Saccharomyces cerevisiae S288C: one gene and its partners. Changing the gene in region 2 together with the main gene of any one other region gives a genetic interaction. Each region holds a gene or a part of one and is shown on either strand. Other genes may lie near its edges.

Region 1 (7,318 bases), on a different chromosome or scaffold from region 2:
ATGTTTCAAATGTTCACGATGCTCAGCATGCTCCTTTTCAACAAAGTATGTGTTCACAGCTGTTAAAGCAATTGCTGGTAGGGCGACCCAAACTGAGATTTTAACCCACATATTAGATGTGTCCTTCGCATGCTTTTCAGTGGCCATTAATGATTCTTTAAATTTTTGAGCTGCCACTTTATCTGGTGGGCCAAATGCAGGTTTCAAAGCATTTGGGGGTAATGAAGATGCATATCTCTTAGCACACTGTCTAAACATTTTTCTATTGTTTGTTATTTGTATAACTGTAGAACTGTAGTAATATGATTTTAAATCTAGATAAAACACATGCGATGTGTAGTGAAAACGTTCAAGGCAACGTGTATGTTTGTTATATTTAATGTATCCCGTCACTCATCGTGATCACATCCCAGCTGGGGGTTATTTTTCGATTCTCTTAGACCGATACTCCCAGTACCGCCTCTCATTGGTGGGAAAAAAAATTACCCGAAATTACTATATTGTGTCAATACCGCACCATATCACTACATTCATAGCGGTATAATCGAAAGGATAGCGGCGTTGGGTTACTACTATCGTCTACCTATTCAGCAGGATAGCTTACTCTGTATTAGCAAATAATAGTCGTTCTTCGCTATTCCCACAGTTTCCAGTAAGAACGATTGGAGTAGAAAAAAAGAATGGTAGAATGCGCCATGGGAAAGAACCGACCAAGAGTGGGAGCAAATAAGTCAAGTAATTACATTAGTAGTGTTTAATGGTTGAAAATATGGCCAGAACTAGTATTAGCTTTCTCCAGGCGACAACAATTTTTAAACATCCGGGTAATAAATTGTTCCAGTTGATGTAAAAAAATACACGGACTCGGATAATAATTATTGGACATAAACCATATCCTTCTCTATTCCAAAGTTTGTCTAATACAGACCAGGAAACCATTTACTTCCCGCTGCAGTCTTTTTTATGACCATCTTTTTTATGCAATGCTATTAATGTTTAAAAGGATTATTTAACGCTTTACTGAGCAAAATATAGGTTATTTAGTGTTTGGAATTGTTGTTTTTGTTGCTGTTTGGATTCAAAGGGAGTATGTTTTTGATTCATAGGATTCTGCTTGGCCTCAGCATAATACTTACCACTCCCCATATCCATATTATTCCAATACTGCTGCTGATGCTGCTGCTGTAATTTTGAAGGTTGCTTTTTGTCGATTTTTTTAGTACCAGTGTGGCTGGTTCCAGTTTTGCTCTTCATAAACTCCTGGTACTTCCTCTCGACATCCATTTCGTAAATGCAATTTCCTGTCAACTGGTTTCCGATGGTAAACCAGCCAGGCCGCGTATTGTGATCCCTTCCGAATATCTCTAGTTTTCTGGCATGGGTGCCTGCCAACCGTTCTGCTATACCATACAGTTCATCAGGCTTTCTACTAGTCTCTCTGGTCATTGATACGATCAAATCGACGTCAATATGTTTGTTGATCCACTTTGGATTACCCTTTAAGCCCACCAATAAATGCTCCTTAGAATGATTTAACCAATGACCCGTACGACCTGTAACAATTGTTCTACCCAGTTGGTTTGTCTTTATCCATGAAACTTCATTTATCACGTTGTAACCCCAGTTATTCAAAGACTCTTTACCCAATTCTATAGCTCTACCCGTCACCCAAAGAAAAATAATACCTTCATCTTGTAGTTCGTGCAAAGGCAAACCTAATAGTTCAATATCGTTGCAAGTACCGTATGGTAGGTTCATATGGATATTCCATGCAGGATCTGCAATAACTACCGAAAACTTTCCAAGAACCCTAAAATCAAATTTCCGCACATCGCAACGGATCCACTGTGCAGGTAAAGCCTTTTTGATACAATGTGCGGAGCAATTGCCCAGAGTATAAAATGGAATGGAAACGTTTGACCGTATTCTTTTATTTTCACTCGCAGTTTCACGATCAGCTCGCTCTTGCAAGCATGACGGAATATATTGCAGGTAATGAATGTATCGACACGTATTTAATTTATGACAGGTATCCAAATAGGAACAATCTCCTAACGAAATATCAGTTTGTGGTTTGATATTAGGGATAAAGTGAATTTTTGATTGAATGCACTCAATTAATCCTGGGTGATTTTCCTGACATGCGGATATTTTGGACCATTGTAAAGAAACGATTTTGTTATTGACAATGTACACCGAGGTGGACAATAGAGATGCATGCGAATAGTCACTACATATCGGGATGTATTCAATGACCTCGGTCGTGTATTTGGCTCTTTCTTTAGCAAGCTGAAAAGATGATGGTTTTTCCCTCAATAAATTTTGTAAGCGATTGCTCAGTTGTTCACGTGGTAACCCCTGGTTGCTGACGTTAACGTCCCAGTTCAGGACTCCAAGCAGTCTACCCAGCAGTTGGTCTTTTTCCGAATCAGCTTCCGGTTTTGTTGTTAAACTCGACACTTTTTCTTCACATGAAGAACTGGACGATTTTAATGTATAGTAGAAGGCATGGAACTTGTTATAGAGAATTTTCAAGGAAAAAACGTCCAGGTAAACAATTTTTTCTGGCCTATCTGCCACTAATAGATTCTGGTCAAATTGAATGGACTGCGGCGTTGCAAATATAATATCCTGAAGATCATTCCAAAACTGTTCAAACTGTAAGACCTCGTCTTTATCGTTTCTCAACTTCTGCATCTCATCATCGTATCCGCCACTGATGTACAGTGAATACACATCTTTGAGCTGTCCAGAAAGCGGTGCTCTTAGGATGTCATCATAATTCTGGATCAGAAAATGTACTAGTTTATCGTTAATCATAGCCTGCTTACAACTTTTATGAATTCAAGTCTGAATGCCAATTCTTATTTTTTTCGAAAACCCCCAATGCTAACTTATATGGTCCGTTTTCTTTACTGTTATCCATCTCCCTTTCCTATAGCTCCAGCGGTTACCGATCTTCCAGAATGCCGGGGAGATCTTTCTCTTTCTTTGTTTATAACAAGTTTCACAAGCACGAAAGAAAGAACAATACTGTACGCCAAAAGCCGCCTAAAGACGCATATTCCCGTCAATTTATGTGACCGGTACCACTATATACCTAAGGCACCTCTATACCAATGTAGAATGCCCTGTTTATACTCTATATAGAGGATTCTCGATGTTCTTTGGGGCATCGTTAAACGTGATATTCCTACTATGTTACTAAATGTTGAACTGAAAGCATCTTGAAACGATTCTAATCAGTTTTAGGTGTGTCGCCAATGTACAGTTATAGAAAAGACGCCAGATTACTCAAGTACGTTAAAATCAGGTATCAAGTGAATAACAACACGCAACATGTCTGGAACATTTAGTTATGATGTGAAAACAAAGGAGAACGAACCATTATTTGAGTTTAATTCTGCTTATTCTCCCAGGGTATCGTATCATTTTAACTCCAAAGTTTCACATTACCATTATGGTGTTAAGCATCCAATGAAGCCGTTTCGGTTAATGCTAACGGATCACCTAGTTTCCTCTTATGGATTGCACAAGATTATGGACCTTTATGAAACAAGAAGCGCTACCAGAGACGAATTACTACAATTTCACTCGGAAGACTACGTGAATTTTCTCTCGAAGGTTTCACCAGAAAATGCAAACAAACTGCCCAGAGGCACACTTGAAAATTTTAACATTGGAGACGACTGTCCTATTTTTCAAAATTTATATGATTATACAACACTATACACTGGTGCGAGCCTTGACGCCACCAGGAAACTAATCAACAATCAATCGGACATAGCGATAAATTGGTCTGGTGGTCTTCATCATGCAAAAAAGAATAGTCCATCTGGGTTTTGCTATGTAAATGATATTGTGCTTTCTATTTTGAACTTATTACGATATCACCCAAGAATCCTTTATATCGATATCGACTTACATCACGGCGATGGTGTCCAGGAGGCATTTTACACCACAGATAGGGTCTTCACGTTGTCTTTTCATAAATATAATGGCGAATTTTTCCCAGGAACTGGTGATCTGACAGAAATTGGTTGCGACAAAGGAAAACATTTCGCATTAAATGTACCCCTAGAAGATGGCATAGATGACGACTCATATATAAACCTTTTCAAGTCAATTGTAGATCCTCTAATAATGACTTTCAAACCAACACTTATTGTCCAACAATGCGGTGCGGATTCCTTAGGTCATGATCGCTTAGGATGCTTCAATTTAAATATAAAGGCACATGGAGAATGCGTAAAATTTGTCAAATCATTTGGTCTACCAATGCTAGTAGTGGGCGGTGGAGGTTATACACCTAGAAATGTATCACGGCTTTGGACCTACGAGACAGGAATTTTAAATGATGTCTTGCTACCAGAAGACATCCCCGAAGATATCCCATTCCGGGACTCATTCGGGCCGGATTATTCACTTTATCCTATGTTAGATGACTTATACGAAAACAAAAACAGTAAAAAACTACTGGAAGACATTAGAATACGATGTCTAGAAAATATCAGATACTTGCAAGGAGCACCAAGTGTCAGAATGGATGCTGAATGCATACCGACACAAGATATAAGTGCCCTGACAGAAGAAGAGGATAAAATCATTCAAGAAATGAATGAAGAAACAGAAGCAGACAGTTCAAATAGGCTAGAAGAAATGGAAAAAGAAAACAGTGGATTGATTGCCTTTTCATAGTTTAAGAGTTTGCTATTCGGTTAATCTCCCGTTTTTTTTTTTTTTTTTTTTTTTATTTTCCTTTTTTTTTTTTTAATGTTTTTAGCATATTATGTAGAGTGTTAAGGCCTTAAAAGTTATTTGCATCATTGTTAAAAATGACATGTATTGTATAAGAGTTCGGCTCTTCGATGCCGTCAGAAACATTTTTGGAAGGTGCACTCCGTATTCGAGACACTTCTGAAACGGACAAGTCACCAAACTACTCTGAAAACAACAAAAAAAAGCCTTTTCTTATAATTTGAAAGCTTCTCCCGCAGCATTATCGATATCGTGAAACTTCCAAAATCTTTCTTAATTAAACCGGACATCAGTGTCTACAACATTAGAGCAAGTCACTCAGTTCATGTAATACATCTGGACAATTATGTCTAATAAAGAGATAACTTGTATCAAACCGTTTAAAATTATTGCTCTAATTTTATTGATAGTTCTAATAATAAACCTCTCTTATAAGTTATTTCTGAGACGCTATTTAAAGTCGACAGTTATTTGGTGTTTAGGAATCGCCAATACAGATCGTAACGATATGATGTGGTGGCAAGTCTCGCCACTATTAGAGCGCTGGGTTTGGCAGTTAGTTGACAATTATGAATCCGGGTACGAATAATTATCAAGCCCTTATTAGCTACAATGCTGGGAGCAATAGATATATAAATAACCCTTATGCACAGCGGAAGACTTCAAAATATCTTTGTCTTTTATATCATTATGTGGTATGTATTATATAACGAGAATAATATATCAAATACAAAAAGTAACGAGGTTACCACATTGAATTTTCTTCAAATATCAGTGGTTAATTCAACACCTCCGACAGCCCATATTTCTCTTTCATCTTCAAATCTGTCACTAAACATTGTTTCCGCGTCTCCTCCGGCAGCAATCCTTTCTCTTTCGACATTTGCTAACCTTTTACCAACCCTCTTGGTATAGTCCCCAACAGACCGTAATTGAATTGTAGTACCTGTGACAGTTTCGATGCTGTTACCGCGATCTGAAATTTTAGCAAACCACTCGTTGAAAGTATGCATGTCATCTTCTTCAACCAATTTGAACAAAGCTAAATATGCTTTTTCTGCTGCGAGCTTAATTGGGATAACAGGATCACGCAAGCAAGAAAATACAGATGGTCCTACTACATCGAAGTATTGCTTAATGCACTCGTCAAATTTGAATCTGGCTAGTGTTCTTATAACCACCAAGGCCAACCTTCTTACATCCGTAGAATTACTGGCTGGTTGTAAGACAGCTTTGCTCAACTCATTAATTAACAGATTGATGTTTTCATCGCCAATTTTGAATGGTTCTGCAGCATCCTTTTTAACAAATGGAGACCTCTTTTCTCCTTCTAATAAAAGTAATTTACCAGCAGCAATGGTACCATTTTCTCCGAAGTAAACATCAGGGGAACGGATTGCATTCAAAATGTAACTTACAAATTCGTCTATCAAGCCCGTATTGAATATATGTGTTGGTGCATCTTTCAAAAAGGAATTCAAAGTCAGAATAGCAAACTTACCGGTTTCTCCATCTAGATCTGCATTCAAAACCTTGTCTTGCAATATCTTGTGGGCTTCGTCGTTCGACAAAATCTCTGATAACGATCCGATTAATTTAGCGTAAGCAACTGCCAATTTGTCATTGCTACCCAACATTTCTTCCTCAACTAAATTGACAATGTTTGTCTTAGAATTTTCGTTTAATTTGGAACCAGCCTTCATAATAACTTCCAGTAAAGCTTTAAGCATCGCAGTCTTGACACCTTCATCTGTGGCTTGCTTGGCACCTGTCACCAGTTCAATGACTAGAGGGTCAACACGAGGCTGATGTTCAATCAGGGCACCAAGAGCCTTTGCGGCGCGGAGACGTAACGTTTCATTGGTAGCGTCAGACAAGGATTTAACAAATGTTCTTTGTAATTGAGGGATAAAAGGCCTCAAGAACATTGGAATCTTAATGAATAGCACATTAAGTGCAAATAAAATTGCTGCTTTGATATCACTACTAAATCTTTCACCCACGACACGAATTAATGGACCAGTAATTACGCTCACAAATGGCTTCAAGTTAGCGGCAGGGGTCTTCGAAACAACGTCAGCAATGGCTAATGCAGATTCTTCCCTTTCATCATTCGAACCATACATCAAACCATGCAAGAAAATAGGCAAAACACAGTTAGGGCCTCTTGGAAGCTTAAATGCAGCGACATCTTGACCTTGCCTGCCTGTTAATGCCAATGACTGTTTAGCAGGCTTAACTAATTTTTCTAAGGTGGGCTTATCAACCTTCTTCAACAAAGTAGACAAAGCATTGAAGTTACCATTAACAACCCTTTGATCTTCATCATCTAATGATAAAATTGCGTGAGAGACAAAGTTCGGAATATAGACATCAAAATCAAGAACAGTCTTATCGAAGAAATTTGGCAAACGTTCTAAAACAGCTATGCGTTTCTCTATATTATCACTCTTTAGTAGTGACATAATCTGTTGAAGTAATGGGTGAAGACCTTCGTCATCATTCACAGATAAGAATACCCTGTCTAATGCAAGTTCTAATGCACCCTTGGTCGATTCAT
Region 2 (7,664 bases):
TCGTAAATGTTTTCACTTGCCTGATAAATTGTAACAAAAGCGGTTGATTTCAATAAGTTTGTCATAATACGGATGGCTTTTGCGTATTCTAAGGCCGTAGACGCATCCAAACCTCTAGTGGCATTATCCCAACAGTAAATGGAACCTTTGGCTGCCAAAGCCTCGGCAATGGAAACACGCTTACGTTCACCACCAGATACACCTCTAACGAAATCGTTACCAACTTTGGTATTATAGGTATGCCTTAGACCGAAAATGGTTGCATATAAATCTCTTCTGGATGCAATGTATTCCTTTTTGGAAACGTTATTGACTCTGAGAGCAGGCGTTTTGCAGGCAATAGCGAAATCCAAAGTTTGCTTAACTGTTAAATAAGGGAAATGAACATCCAACTCACCATTGTAAATAACATCTGCTTTATATCGTTTCATCATTTCTTCTTGGGGAATACCATCATATGCTACTTCACCGGAAACACCACCGGCAAACTGATCTATTTCACCAGCTGTTACTTTTAAAAAGGAGGAACAACCAGCACCAGGCCTTCCAAGAACCAAAATCATTTCACCCGCTTCTGCCAGGGCATTGACATTGCTTATGATCTGTCTCATCTTTTGATGCCTCTTAGCCTTAATACCTTTAAAGATGGTCAACGGTAAACAAAGAATGTTACCAAAGGTAGCACCTTCTAGGGCACTCGCATCCACACCTTTAGCGCTTACGTCCTCTATGGTAACACCAGCCTTGCGGATATGGATGCCTTGCTCATCAGCGTCTCTTACAAAACTTTCAAAGATGGCATGGGCATCGAACCCATCGTCACTATCTGAATCCATATTAAAGGCACCGCTTCTCGTTGTATGACGGGATAGTGCATCTGCAAATGACTCCACTTTAGATACGACATCTGGCGCCATTTCAGACACAGTGGCACTAATCTGGCTCGCAGTGTCTCTTGCAGGTCCTGTCAGCATTTTTGTTAGTTTATCCGCCGGGGTATCGCTCTGCTCATCTTTGTCATGGGTTATGCCCGTAAATGATTCTTCTGAAGCTGCAAAAGAAGCGCTTGAGCTTCTAGCGACAGCATTATGAGAGCTATCTTGCGTGCTTTTGATATTGCTCATTGAATTCTCTTTACGTATTTTGGTAGCTGTGTTATTCTATCCACTTTTTTACTGCTTTCGGTCTTCGATATAGTTTTTCTTTTTTTATGTCTCTGCGGGTACGTCCGCTATACCTTCGTTTTCTCAGGGAGCTTGAACTCTAATCAATGGAAGGAGAAAATAATCAATGTTGAAGACGATGGATGCACTGAGAATGTAATGCACTGGTGATATAGTAACTCCTATATCCTACAGTGAGCTTTTTTTTTTTTGACCTCGCAACACTTCAACTTGAAAAACAAAAGATACAAATACACTAGGTTCGTATATATTGTTTTCGTTAGGTATTTATTTATCTACAAGCATATACAAGCATAAAAAGTGGTGAGGCGATAGCGGTGAGGGAGGGGCACTACTCATCATTTGTTTTATATGTTGATGTTGCGTAGTCACTATTAGTAATACCAATACCCAGCGGGGTTGCAGGGAATACAATGGAAAGACCTAAAGAAAATAGAAAACGGATTTAAACGGAAATGGGCGGACATTTAGTCATATGTGCGCGGAACCAGACGACTGGGAAAGGATCGAAAGGCATCCGCGGAAACTTAAAATAGCTCCGCGGATGCTAGATTTCTACGAGTCATACATAGTCTGGCGTGAAGGTAATTTTTTTTTATGTCTCCGTTCTTTTCCAAATGGGGTGATCCGTGGAGGGCGGTGCTTCTTTCGCGCCACTTCCTTGCCGTGGAAAAATGTGTACGGTTACCATGGTCACATAACCTCTGTGTGCGGAGCCACTCTGACTCGCATCAACCGGGCTATGGTTGCATCGGATGCTGGAATGGGTTCTATTGGACTCACCAACTTGTTTCTTTATAGAGTGTAAGAGGTATGAGTAAACTTTTAATATTTAAAGGTTGTTCCAAGAAGGTGTTTAGTGTTATTGTTCGTACAAACAAGTACCCAAGGCAGGCTTCGAAACTATAATTGCGTCTTTTAGTTCTTCATCTGTGAGATCCGGATATCTTACATTGTAGAATTTTTCGATTAGTGCTTTTCGTACCTGTTCCACGTTCCCATTAGCGCCACTAGGAACAAGGTGGATAGTGCAACCGCCCCAACCAGCGCCAGTGAGACGGGAGCCGAAAGAACCATTTGCTAGGGCAATCGAGCATATTTGATTGGTTTCTATGCACGAACATTCATAAAGTTTATCACAAGAGGCCTGGGACTCATTCATTAGTCGGCCAAAATCTGTAAAGAAATCTTCGTCCGTGTGAAAAGTGGCACTTGTCATCATTTTTAAAGCCTTAAGCACCCTTAAGGATTCGGAGTAAACGTGTTTAGCTCTTTGATATAGTTTCAAGACTTGGAAGCGGACGGGAAAAGTTGTCAGGTAATCTCTAGTGAACTCCTCACGTGAACAGTTTAGCGCCGTAGAGGCTTCATGTACAGTGAATCCGCTCTTTTTCCTCGAGAAAGATTCTTCTACCAATTGTAGCATCTTGAGTAAACGTTCAATACCAGTTCCGATATCTCCATTCCATGGTTGGGCTTGGTTTTCGTATCTGGCGTAGTAAGCATCCATAAAATCTCTTAGATTCCCTCTTTCTGAGTTAGAATTGTCCTTGTGAGATGGTAAGGCCACGCTGTATCTGGTCGCCAAGGCGTTGGCAGCAACTGTTACCTCTATTACTCTTAAATTGTAATTTGTAGGAGCAGTTTCGAATTTATTAGACTTTACAAGAGTATTGGCGATGACGAAACTGATTTCATGATTTTTCAATTGAGGAAACTTGAAAGGTGTGGCCTTTAGTTTTGGCCTAAACTCTACGTATAGAGCATGATCTTCTTCCCCATAAACAGACGTTGCTTGATCCATACCACCATTATTGACTCCAACATAGTGCTCAGCAACCGCTGTGATGCGGGTCAAGTCTTTTTTGGAAATATCAAAATTTTTTCCCATATTGGCTCTAATTGTGGCTAGTGCTGCCGCGCAAGTAAATGCAGATGAGAGTCCACCACCAGTAGGAATATCGCTCTGGCAAAAGATCTGCGCACCTACTAAGGGTGTATTATTAAATCTTTCCGGAGCAATTTTTTTCAAGTATGAATGTGCCACATGTAGTCCGCATTTAAAGTAATTCGACCATTCCGACACAGACGGATCTATGGCCATGTAGGAACCATCTAAAGGCAGATCAAACTTTCGCTGAGCAAATTTAGGGTCCGCATTTGTTAAGGTAATGGATGGATTTTTTTCGTCTAAAATTTTAACTGCGCAAAGCATATCCACATCAATGGCTAATGGCAAAACTGAAAAATCGCAATAATCTATATGCTCACCAATCAGATTTACTCTGCCAGGAGACCTAGCGATAAAATCAGGTTTGACATGGTATGTTTGGAAAAATGCATCTACAACCGCTAAATGTTTTTGTTCGAAAGACCTTGGTAAATCTCTGACCGGAGAACTGAATATTGGAACGTTTGTATTCATACTATGTGTTGCCCTACCTTTTTACTTTTATTTTCTCTTTTTGCACTCCTGATTCCGCTAATAGGAAGTATGAATACCTGGGGTTGTCAATGTGGTAACAAAGGTGTTGCCTCACTTGTCGCTTATGATGATTATATACGTTTCAGTAAAAATTTTACTGCCTATGTGTTGCAGGCGGTCAATCAATTGCATAAAAGACCGTGTGATGGCTTGGCATGGCGATTTCATTCTTTCAAGAATTCCACATGTTAAAATAGTGAAGGAGCATGTTCGGCACACAGTGGACCGAACGTGGGGTAAGTGCACTAGGGTCCGGTTAAACGGATCTCGCATTGATGAGGCAACGCTAATTATCAACATATAGATTGTTATCTATCTGCATGAACACGAAATCTTTACTTGACGACTTGAGGCTGATGGTGTTTATGCAAAGAAACCACTGTGTTTAATATGTGTCACTGTTTGATATTACTGTCAGCGTAGAAGATAATAGTAAAAGCGGTTAATAAGTGTATTTGAGATAAGTGTGATAAAGTTTTTACAGCGAAAAGACGATAAATACAAGAAAATGATTACGAGGATACGGAGAGAGGTATGTACATGTGTATTTATATACTAAGCTGCCGGCGGTTGTTTGCAAGACCGAGAAAAGGCTAGCAAGAATCGGGTCATTGTAGCGTATGCGCCTGTGAACATTCTCTTCAACAAGTTTGATTCCATTGCGGTGAAATGGTAAAAGTCAACCCCCTGCGATGTATATTTTCCTGTACAATCAATCAAAAAGCCAAATGATTTAGCATTATCTTTACATCTTGTTATTTTACAGATTTTATGTTTAGATCTTTTATGCTTGCTTTTCAAAAGGCCTGCAGGCAAGTGCACAAACAATACTTAAATAAATACTACTCAGTAATAACCTATTTCTTAGCATTTTTGACGAAATTTGCTATTTTGTTAGAGTCTTTTACACCATTTGTCTCCACACCTCCGCTTACATCAACACCAATAACGCCATTTAATCTAAGCGCATCACCAACATTTTCTGGCGTCAGTCCACCAGCTAACATAAAATGTAAGCTTTCGGGGCTCTCTTGCCTTCCAACCCAGTCAGAAATCGAGTTCCAATCCAAAAGTTCACCTGTCCCACCTGCTTCTGAATCAAACAAGGGAATAAACGAATGAGGTTTCTGTGAAGCTGCACTGAGTAGTATGTTGCAGTCTTTTGGAAATACGAGTCTTTTAATAACTGGCAAACCGAGGAACTCTTGGTATTCTTGCCACGACTCATCTCCATGCAGTTGGACGATATCAATGCCGTAATCATTGACCAGAGCCAAAACATCCTCCTTAGGTTGATTACGAAACACGCCAACCAAGTATTTCGGAGTGCCTGAACTATTTTTATATGCTTTTACAAGACTTGAAATTTTCCTTGCAATAACCGGGTCAATTGTTCTCTTTCTATTGGGCACACATATAATACCCAGCAAGTCAGCATCGGAATCTAGAGCACATTCTGCGGCCTCTGTGCTCTGCAAGCCGCAAACTTTCACCAATGGACCAGAACTACCTGTGAAATTAATAACAGACATACTCCAAGCTGCCTTTGTGTGCTTAATCACGTATACTCACGTGCTCAATAGTCACCAATGCCCTCCCTCTTGGCCCTCTCCTTTTCTTTTTTCGACCGAATTCTTAATCGGCAAAAAAAGAAAAGCTCCGGATCAAGATTGTACGTAAGGTGACAAGCTATTTTTCAATAAAGAATATCTTCCACTACTGCCATCTGGCGTCATAACTGCAAAGTACACATATATTACGATGCTGTTCTATTAAATGCTTCCTATATTATATATATAGTAATGTCGTTAACCGTTGATTTTTACTGATTGGTCTCTGCCGTGCGGGTGAGCGGCGCGTCCAGACGGGCGGGTGCACGTTTCTTTTTCTGACCATTTCCCTGTCAGCTCTTTTAGATCGGGGCTGCCGTTTGAAAAGTTTTATCATCGCCAGACATGCCATAAGGAATATCTCCACCGCCTCTAACTGTCCCTAACTCGGTCTCTTTCTTATAACTACCATTACTCAGTGTTGAGAGATTGGTAGAAATATACGCGTATACGTTCATTCAAGACTTATTTTCAGCCAGTAATATTCCCTACTCCTCTTCCGTTTTCAGAATAGAGATGGACCAGCCAAGGACCCATTCAGGACCCACGACGGCCAGCAATCCTGCCCCCAGCTCCACCAACTCGTCATCTGCTCCCAGCGCGACTAATTCAAAGCAGGAAAGATCCTCTTCGTCACTGTCCAAACCTTCGTCAGTGGTTCCTTCAAAGGATTCACCAGATGGTGACGCTATTGCTAAGACTCAAGCAGCCGCTTTAAAAAACGACATGAAATCTGGTGATACCAGTACATTAGATGGGTCATCTCAAAATATAATTCCAAACAGAGCCTCAATGCAAAAATATATTGACCAGTCATCAGATCTGCTGTCGAGGAGCTCCGGCGTAATAACGCCCTCCATGTCTTTGAATGCAAGCACTAACGCCACTAACAACGATAGCAGTGGCAATTCAGCTAATAGTAGTGATTTGAAGATCCCTATAGACAGGGACAATACTATATTCAAGACGTTCGACACCAAGACTGGTCAATTCTTGAAAAACGATGATAATGAAGAAGAAATAAGGAGGAACAATAAAGTTGATTCGATACCCCCAAAGAATATTTATACTAATATCAACAATCCATCTCCCTCCCCACCACCGTCGTCAAAGCAACCACCGTCTGCATCCGCGCCGCAATTGCCACCAGCAACGGAACCACACAAAGAACAAGCAGCACAACAACAGCCACCAGGAAATGCTTCTAACTTTTTAAGGATCTTTTCAAATAAAAAAATGAGGTCGCATTCCGTACCCACTATTTTGCATTCTTCTTTAAGAAAATTATCATCCCACAATCAATACTATCGTAATCAAAATATTCTTTTAAATCATCCAACTCCTTCCGGCATATCAAAGAAAAAATTTTCTAGAAACCATCATCAACCATATTTGCATTCTAATAATCCTCTCAGTTCAAACCCTCTTTCATTAAAGCGCGCAATTTTTTTAAATCAACAAATATCAGGTAACGCAAGCACTAACGCTAATAATGACAACATTAATAATTCCACTGCCACTTCAATGACAAATCAAAGCTTCCTATCAAGCTCAAACTTTGACTTAACTTTGGAAGATAGAATAAACTACATAAAGGCTACTCCAACGCCTGTTCCATTTCCTCCTATAAATTTGCAGGGCTTAAAAGAGATTGACTTACAGGAAATTCTGAAAAACCCACAACTAAGACATGATATAATATTCGACCCGCTACTACAATTCAGGCCAAATCTTGATGGCGAAAGAGGGAATAAAAAAAGACAATTGGCGAATATCTATTGGAATGATGTTCAAAATGAAATTTATGTTTACTCTAAGAGGCCTGAAATATTCCAATATAACAGGTCAAGACTAGTCCCACTTTTTGACACTTTAAGGGATGTATTGTTAACGATAGTCCCACAAAAAGAGTCTCCGATGATAAATAATGTACTGGACACAGAATTGAACATTCAAGAACTATTGAAAGGTTCTCTGATAATGTCTAACTTGTCAGGCTGGTTGGCTGATTTATTTAAACATCATTGTGCCCCCATGAGGGACCCATGGGTGGATAAAATGAGCAACAAATTTAAAGAAGCTGAAAGAGACTCTTCTTTAACAAGGTTAATAGAAGGTTTAAGGTTGGTTTTTCAAATTTTGGAAACAATGAAATTGGATATTGCCAATCATCAAATAAGAATACTAAGGCCAGCTCTGTTAAGTAATGCTGTAGAATTTGAGAAACAGTATTTCAACACTCTTATAGCCTCTAAAAGGGTGAATTTAAATACTTCCCTACTTTGGTTTGATAAAAAATTCAACGAAAATGTTACCGCTGGCCTTGTTAGAAATCCAAGTTCTATCACTATCCCTGATGTCTACAATATTTGCATTAGAAGTATA
Region 3 (8,397 bases), on a different chromosome or scaffold from region 2:
GACATACAGTTCTGTAAAAGAGTTGCTAGTTGCAACACATAGTCTTCGGCGGGCTTCCATGTCGATGCCATCTTTATTCACTTAACTACTGCTAACAATTCTGAAAACCAAAGACTGCGGAATATTCTGATATGTATTATTACTATTCACTGCTCTTCTGCATAATTAATACTGAAAAGTTTTTCATACTTTTAAACATAACCTTTTTTTAAGCAAAACTCTATAACCCGGATCAGAAAACTACGAAAAGAGGGTAATAACATAGGTGCAGGATTTCCATCGATAACGACACCGACAATGAGCCTTGCTGCAACATCCAATTAGGACTAATAACTATCGTAGGAATTTCTACGTAATAAACTTCAACAGAGCCTAAAATTTGAAAATAAATAATCTAGAGGGGAAACTTAAAGAAATTCTATTCTTGTCAATAAAGTGGAAATGTGTCAGATGTCACAGTTTCTTTATTTGTGACACATATTTTCAACATAAATTCAGGCATTAGTGCTTTTATAAGCATAAGAAGTTGTGGCGATATGAATATTCCAGATTTTACTTACAAGCTGCATTGTATTCCTAAAATTCTTTTTTCTTTTTTTTTTTTTTTATGGAAAGGACCACTCTTACATAACTAGAATAGCATTAAGAATCAGATTTACAGATAATGATGTCATTATTAAATATATATATATATATATTGTCACTCCGTTCAAGTCGACAACCAATAAAAAATTTAAAAGAAACCAGGCAGTTAATAGAAAAAATATGATATGAATGAATATTCCACTTTCTTTTTACAGTCTTTGTAGATAATGAATCTGACCATCTAAATTTCTTAGTTTTTCAGCAGCTTGTTCCGAAGTTAAATCTCTTTGAGGCTCACCTAACAATTCAAAACCAACCAAGAATTTCCGAACAGTAGCTGATCTCAGTAAAGGTGGGTAGAAATGCATGTGAAACCAACTATTACTCAATTCATCACCAGTCGCATTCAAAGGAGCCTGATGGATACCCATTGAGTATGGGAAACTCGTTTCAAATAAATTATCATACTTAATAGTTAGTTGCTTTAAAATCGAGGCGAGGTCCTCCTTCACCATTTGGTTAAATTGGCTAATTGAGGCAAGCTTCTTCTTTGAAATGACCAAGGTCTCAAATGGCCAGATGGCCCAGTATGGAACAACAACAATAAAGGATTCATTCTCCACTACGACTCTTGACTTCTCTCTTGATTCTAATTTGACGTAATCGGCAAACAAATCAGTATTGTGTTCACGTTTATATTTATCAAAAGATTTCAATTCTTGCGAAACTTCACTAGGGATGGATTCTAAGCACCAAGCTTGGCCATGTGGATGTAAGTTGGAACAACCCATGGCTGTACCTTTGTTTTCAAATATTTGGACATATTTGAAAGGCTTATGATTTTCTCTTGCTTCTCTGGAGAGATCGTCAGTCAATGCTTGCCAAGAATTAACAATATGAACCAGATCTGATTGTTTCATTTGTGGAATGGTTAGATTATGATTGGGGCTAAAACATATGACGAAACAATTGCCTCTCACAGATTGCACTTTAAGCAGCCTATTTTTAAGATTATCCTCATTGGAATCATTCTGTGGTAAAATAGGTTGATCGAGCCTAACGGCAGCATAATCATTGGGGAAAATATACGTTGATTCATATCTTGGGTTTAGGTTACCAGTAGCTCTTTTGTTACCAGGACATAGATAGCATTTTGGATCATACAATGGAGCTGTGGGCTTGTAAGCAGCCTCCTGTTGACCTAACCAAGGTCTTTTAGCTCTGTGTGGAGAAACTAAGATCCATGAATCGGTTAGTGGATTGTAACGTCTATGGGAATGGCTAGAAAAATCAAATTCTTCAGCAGTCATTTTTGAGGGAATATTCAACTGTTTTTTTTTATCATGTTGATGCTCTGCATAATAATGCCCATAAATATTTCCGACCTGCTTTTATATCTTTGCTAGCCAAACTAACTGAACATAGCTACACATTATTTTCAGCTTGGCTATTTTGTGAACACTGTATAGCCAGTCCTTCGGATCACGGTCAACAGTTGTCCGAGCGCTTTTTGGACCCTTTCCCTTATTTTTGGGTTAAGGAAAATGACAGAAAATATATCTAATGAGCCTTCGCTCAACAGTGCTCCGAAGTATAGCTTTCCAAAAGGAGAGGCAAAGCAATTTAAGAATGTATGAACAAAATAAAGGGGAAAAATTACCCCCTCTACTTTACCAAACGAATACTACCAATAATATTTACAACTTTTCCTTATGATTTTTTCACTGAAGCGCTTCGCAATAGTTGTGAGTGATATCAAAAGTAACGAAATGAACTCCGCGGCTCGTGCTATATTCTTGTTGCTACCGTCCATATCTTTCCATAGATTTTCAATTTTTGATGTCTCCATGGTGGTACAGAGAACTTGTAAACAATTCGGTCCCTACATGTGAGGAAATTCGCTGTGACACTTTTATCACTGAACTCCAAATTTAAAAAATAGCATAAAATTCGTTATACAGCAAATCTATGTGTTGCAATTAAGAACTAAAAGATATAGAGTGCATATTTTCAAGAAGGATAGTAAGCTGGCAAATCAGGAAAATCTGTAGACAATCTTGGACCCGTAAGTTTCACCGTTTTTCAAGGTTACACAATCTTTCCAGTTCTCTTGATTGATAGCATCAATGTATCTACCAGGCTCAATTGCAAAACCTTGTCTTGCTTCGTAACCAGCAGACAAGAAATCACCGGTATAAAATTGATAAGTTGGCTCTGTACTTAAAACTTCTAATGTAATATTGGAATCGGGATGAAAAGCCTTGACAATAAGCGTCAATTCATTGTTTAGAGTATTGATTTGACTTGGCTTAGCATTTTCATCCACCACAAAACAACAATCAAACTGGGGATTTTTGGGGCCTAAGACCGTTGGCTTTGTAGAGTTAAAGGTAGCAATTTCTCTATCGACGATATTACCCGTAGGAATCATGTTTTTGTCGACATCAACAGATTTTTTTGAACGCACCATAATCTCCGTACCCTCAATAGTGTCTCCATATGGCTTGTTCAGATTGAAATAACTATGATTTGTTAAATTTATTGGCGTCGCTTCACCAGCAGTCAATTTACCTTTATATACCATTTCCAAACTTTTTTGGGCAACGTTCACAGTATACTGTATGGTTACCAATAGATCACCTGGAAATTCGGTGTCCTTCTCATTATCTATCAGCATGTACTCGGCGGTAAAAACATCCTTTGAAGGATTTTGAATGATGGGTCCCAAAAATCTTTTTCTGTGGAAAGAACCGATACTACTATGATTCGCATTAACGCCGTTATTAACGGTTAACTGATAGTCTTTGTTGCATAAACTAAACTTACCCTTCGAAATACGATTAGCATACCTGCCGATCGTGGCGCCTATATAAGCACTATCAGGATTCAAATACCCTTCCTCATTTTCATAGCCAAGAACAACTGATTGTCCGTTCACTTTCAGGTCAACAATGCTGGCGCCCAAATTGGCAAACGTGGCTTGAAATCTGGTGCCGGCACCAATAGTCACAAATCTTGCGTCATAACGCATATCTTCAGCGGAAAATCTGGCCTCGACACCCCTTAACTGGTAACCAAAAGGATTCTCAGTAGTCCATTTCCATAAATCCTTGCAGGAGTCTTCAACCTGCAACTCGGTCTGCCATTTCAGTTCGCGTTTGGCCCTATCTGGTTTAGCCGTCAAGTTCAAAACATCACCTGCTCTTCTGCCCGTAACTTTGTATGGAAGATCAATACCAGAAGCTTTGCAGAATGCATGATAAACTTCAAAAACTGTAGAACCTTTACCGGAACCCAAGTTCCACTCACGACACAAACCTTCATTTTCATTGTAGGCCTCTAGGTATTGCAGGGCTGCAATATGACCTTTTGCTAGATCAACTACGTGGATATAATCCCTGATCGGGGTACCATCTCTGGAATCATAATCGTCTCCGAAGATGTAAAGCTTCTCGCGCCTACCAACAGCTACTTGAGCCATATATGGCAACAAATTGTTTGGTATACCTAGCGGATCTTCTCCGATTAATCCAGAGGGATGTGCGCCAATTGGGTTAAAATAACGCAAGATAGCAAACTTCCAACTTTTTTTGTCGCTATTGTAAAGATCATTCAAGATATTCTCAATGGCGTATTTCGTATGACCATACGGATTAGTAGGCCCTAAGGGACATTCTTCTGGGATAGGAATCATATTTGGGAATCTCGTAGCATCACCATAGACAGTAGCAGAAGATGAAAAAACAAATTTGGAAACGTTGTATTGTTGCATTAACTCTAATAAAACGACAGTTCCCAAAATGTTATTGTGATAGTATCTCAGCGGGATTTGTGTAGATTCACCTACAGCCTTTAAACCAGCAAAGTGAATTACCGAATCAATTTTATATTCTTTGAAAACCTTTTCCAGACCTTTTCGGTCACACAAATCAACCTCATAGAAGGGAATGTGATGCTTGGTCAAGACCTCTAACCTGGCTACAGAATCATAAGTTGAATTCGACAGGTTATCAGCAACAACACAGTCATATCCATTCTCAATTAGCTCTACCACAGTGTGTGAACCAATGTATCCAGCACCACCTGTAACCAAAACAATTTTAGAAGTACTTTCACTTTGTAACTGAGCTGTCATTTATATTGAATTTTCAAAAATTCTTACTTTTTTTTTGGATGGACGCAAAGAAGTTTAATAATCATATTACATGGCATTACCACCATATACATATCCATATCTAATCTTACTTATATGTTGTGGAAATGTAAAGAGCCCCATTATCTTAGCCTAAAAAAACCTTCTCTTTGGAACTTTCAGTAATACGCTTAACTGCTCATTGCTATATTGAAGTACGGATTAGAAGCCGCCGAGCGGGCGACAGCCCTCCGACGGAAGACTCTCCTCCGTGCGTCCTCGTCTTCACCGGTCGCGTTCCTGAAACGCAGATGTGCCTCGCGCCGCACTGCTCCGAACAATAAAGATTCTACAATACTAGCTTTTATGGTTATGAAGAGGAAAAATTGGCAGTAACCTGGCCCCACAAACCTTCAAATTAACGAATCAAATTAACAACCATAGGATGATAATGCGATTAGTTTTTTAGCCTTATTTCTGGGGTAATTAATCAGCGAAGCGATGATTTTTGATCTATTAACAGATATATAAATGGAAAAGCTGCATAACCACTTTAACTAATACTTTCAACATTTTCAGTTTGTATTACTTCTTATTCAAATGTCATAAAAGTATCAACAAAAAATTGTTAATATACCTCTATACTTTAACGTCAAGGAGAAAAAACTATAATGACTAAATCTCATTCAGAAGAAGTGATTGTACCTGAGTTCAATTCTAGCGCAAAGGAATTACCAAGACCATTGGCCGAAAAGTGCCCGAGCATAATTAAGAAATTTATAAGCGCTTATGATGCTAAACCGGATTTTGTTGCTAGATCGCCTGGTAGAGTCAATCTAATTGGTGAACATATTGATTATTGTGACTTCTCGGTTTTACCTTTAGCTATTGATTTTGATATGCTTTGCGCCGTCAAAGTTTTGAACGAGAAAAATCCATCCATTACCTTAATAAATGCTGATCCCAAATTTGCTCAAAGGAAGTTCGATTTGCCGTTGGACGGTTCTTATGTCACAATTGATCCTTCTGTGTCGGACTGGTCTAATTACTTTAAATGTGGTCTCCATGTTGCTCACTCTTTTCTAAAGAAACTTGCACCGGAAAGGTTTGCCAGTGCTCCTCTGGCCGGGCTGCAAGTCTTCTGTGAGGGTGATGTACCAACTGGCAGTGGATTGTCTTCTTCGGCCGCATTCATTTGTGCCGTTGCTTTAGCTGTTGTTAAAGCGAATATGGGCCCTGGTTATCATATGTCCAAGCAAAATTTAATGCGTATTACGGTCGTTGCAGAACATTATGTTGGTGTTAACAATGGCGGTATGGATCAGGCTGCCTCTGTTTGCGGTGAGGAAGATCATGCTCTATACGTTGAGTTCAAACCGCAGTTGAAGGCTACTCCGTTTAAATTTCCGCAATTAAAAAACCATGAAATTAGCTTTGTTATTGCGAACACCCTTGTTGTATCTAACAAGTTTGAAACCGCCCCAACCAACTATAATTTAAGAGTGGTAGAAGTCACTACAGCTGCAAATGTTTTAGCTGCCACGTACGGTGTTGTTTTACTTTCTGGAAAAGAAGGATCGAGCACGAATAAAGGTAATCTAAGAGATTTCATGAACGTTTATTATGCCAGATATCACAACATTTCCACACCCTGGAACGGCGATATTGAATCCGGCATCGAACGGTTAACAAAGATGCTAGTACTAGTTGAAGAGTCTCTCGCCAATAAGAAACAGGGCTTTAGTGTTGACGATGTCGCACAATCCTTGAATTGTTCTCGCGAAGAATTCACAAGAGACTACTTAACAACATCTCCAGTGAGATTTCAAGTCTTAAAGCTATATCAGAGGGCTAAGCATGTGTATTCTGAATCTTTAAGAGTCTTGAAGGCTGTGAAATTAATGACTACAGCGAGCTTTACTGCCGACGAAGACTTTTTCAAGCAATTTGGTGCCTTGATGAACGAGTCTCAAGCTTCTTGCGATAAACTTTACGAATGTTCTTGTCCAGAGATTGACAAAATTTGTTCCATTGCTTTGTCAAATGGATCATATGGTTCCCGTTTGACCGGAGCTGGCTGGGGTGGTTGTACTGTTCACTTGGTTCCAGGGGGCCCAAATGGCAACATAGAAAAGGTAAAAGAAGCCCTTGCCAATGAGTTCTACAAGGTCAAGTACCCTAAGATCACTGATGCTGAGCTAGAAAATGCTATCATCGTCTCTAAACCAGCATTGGGCAGCTGTCTATATGAATTATAAGTATACTTCTTTTTTTTACTTTGTTCAGAACAACTTCTCATTTTTTTCTACTCATAACTTTAGCATCACAAAATACGCAATAATAACGAGTAGTAACACTTTTATAGTTCATACATGCTTCAACTACTTAATAAATGATTGTATGATAATGTTTTCAATGTAAGAGATTTCGATTATCCACAAACTTTAAAACACAGGGACAAAATTCTTGATATGCTTTCAACCGCTGCGTTTTGGATACCTATTCTTGACATGATATGACTACCATTTTGTTATTGTACGTGGGGCAGTTGACGTCTTATCATATGTCAAAGTCATTTGCGAAGTTCTTGGCAAGTTGCCAACTGACGAGATGCAGTAAAAAGAGATTGCCGTCTTGAAACTTTTTGTCCTTTTTTTTTTCCGGGGACTCTACGAGAACCCTTTGTCCTACTGATTAATTTTGTACTGAATTTGGACAATTCAGATTTTAGTAGACAAGCGCGAGGAGGAAAAGAAATGACAGAAAAATTCCGATGGACAAGAAGATAGGAAAAAAAAAAAGCTTTCACCGATTTCCTAGACCGGAAAAAAGTCGTATGACATCAGAATGAAAAATTTTCAAGTTAGACAAGGACAAAATCAGGACAAATTGTAAAGATATAATAAACTATTTGATTCAGCGCCAATTTGCCCTTTTCCATTTTCCATTAAATCTCTGTTCTCTCTTACTTATATGATGATTAGGTATCATCTGTATAAAACTCCTTTCTTAATTTCACTCTAAAGCATACCCCATAGAGAAGATCTTTCGGTTCGAAGACATTCCTACGCATAATAAGAATAGGAGGGAATAATGCCAGACAATCTATCATTACATTTAAGCGGCTCTTCAAAAAGATTGAACTCTCGCCAACTTATGGAATCTTCCAATGAGACCTTTGCGCCAAATAATGTGGATTTGGAAAAAGAGTATAAGTCATCTCAGAGTAATATAACTACCGAAGTTTATGAGGCATCGAGCTTTGAAGAAAAAGTAAGCTCAGAAAAACCTCAATACAGCTCATTCTGGAAGAAAATCTATTATGAATATGTGGTCGTTGACAAATCAATCTTGGGTGTTTCTATTCTGGATTCATTTATGTACAACCAGGACTTGAAGCCCGTCGAAAAAGAAAGGCGGGTTTGGTCCTGGTACAATTATTGTTACTTCTGGCTTGCTGAATGTTTCAATATCAACACTTGGCAAATTGCAGCTACAGGTCTACAACTGGGTCTAAATTGGTGGCAGTGTTGGATAACAATTTGGATTGGGTACGGTTTCGTTGGTGCTTTTGTTGTTTTGGCCTCTAGAGTTGGATCTGCTTATCATTTGTCATTCCCTATATCATCTAGAGCATCATTCGGTATTTTCTTCTCTTTATGGCCCGTTATTAACAGAGT

What was found. A genetic interaction does not mean that the proteins touch.
Region 1: mutations in GAL3 (region 2) and HOS2 together harm fitness less than expected from each alone (positive genetic interaction), as found in Saccharomyces cerevisiae (3 studies listed by BioGRID, with this or other methods).
Region 3: of GAL3 (region 2) and GAL10, changing one enhances a phenotype caused by changing the other (phenotypic enhancement), as found in Saccharomyces cerevisiae (2 studies listed by BioGRID, with this or other methods).

Annotation. Positions count from the first base shown.
Region 1 is NC_001139.9:137,748-145,065, reverse strand, and holds HOS2 (histone deacetylase HOS2), read left to right. Parts: upstream 1-3,339; coding exon 3,340-4,698; downstream 4,699-7,318. Other genes in the region: COX13 (cytochrome c oxidase subunit VIa), read right to left, coding at 1-258; IME4 (mRNA (N6-adenosine)-methyltransferase), read right to left, coding at 1,018-2,820; YGL193C (uncharacterized protein), read left to right, coding at 2,839-3,150; YGL194C-A (uncharacterized protein), read left to right, coding at 5,105-5,347; GCN1 (Gcn1p), read right to left, coding at 5,523-7,318.
Region 2 is NC_001136.10:459,379-467,042, reverse strand, and holds GAL3 (transcriptional regulator GAL3), read right to left. Parts: upstream 3,610-7,664; coding exon 2,047-3,609; downstream 1-2,046. Other genes in the region: ATP-binding cassette transporter SNQ2, read right to left, coding at 1-1,124; YDR010C (uncharacterized protein), read left to right, coding at 1,660-1,992; phosphoribosylanthranilate isomerase TRP1, read right to left, coding at 4,527-5,201; SOK1 (Sok1p), read left to right, coding at 5,796-7,664.
Region 3 is NC_001134.8:273,633-282,029, forward strand, and holds GAL10 (bifunctional UDP-glucose 4-epimerase/aldose 1-epimerase), read right to left. Parts: upstream 4,721-8,397; coding exon 2,621-4,720; downstream 1-2,620. Other genes in the region: KAP104 (Kap104p), read right to left, coding at 1-71; GAL7 (UDP-glucose:hexose-1-phosphate uridylyltransferase), read right to left, coding at 795-1,895; GAL1 (galactokinase), read left to right, coding at 5,389-6,975; FUR4 (uracil permease), read left to right, coding at 7,811-8,397. UniProt on the Saccharomyces cerevisiae protein: Mutarotase converts alpha-aldose to the beta-anomer. It is active on D-glucose, L-arabinose, D-xylose, D-galactose, maltose and lactose.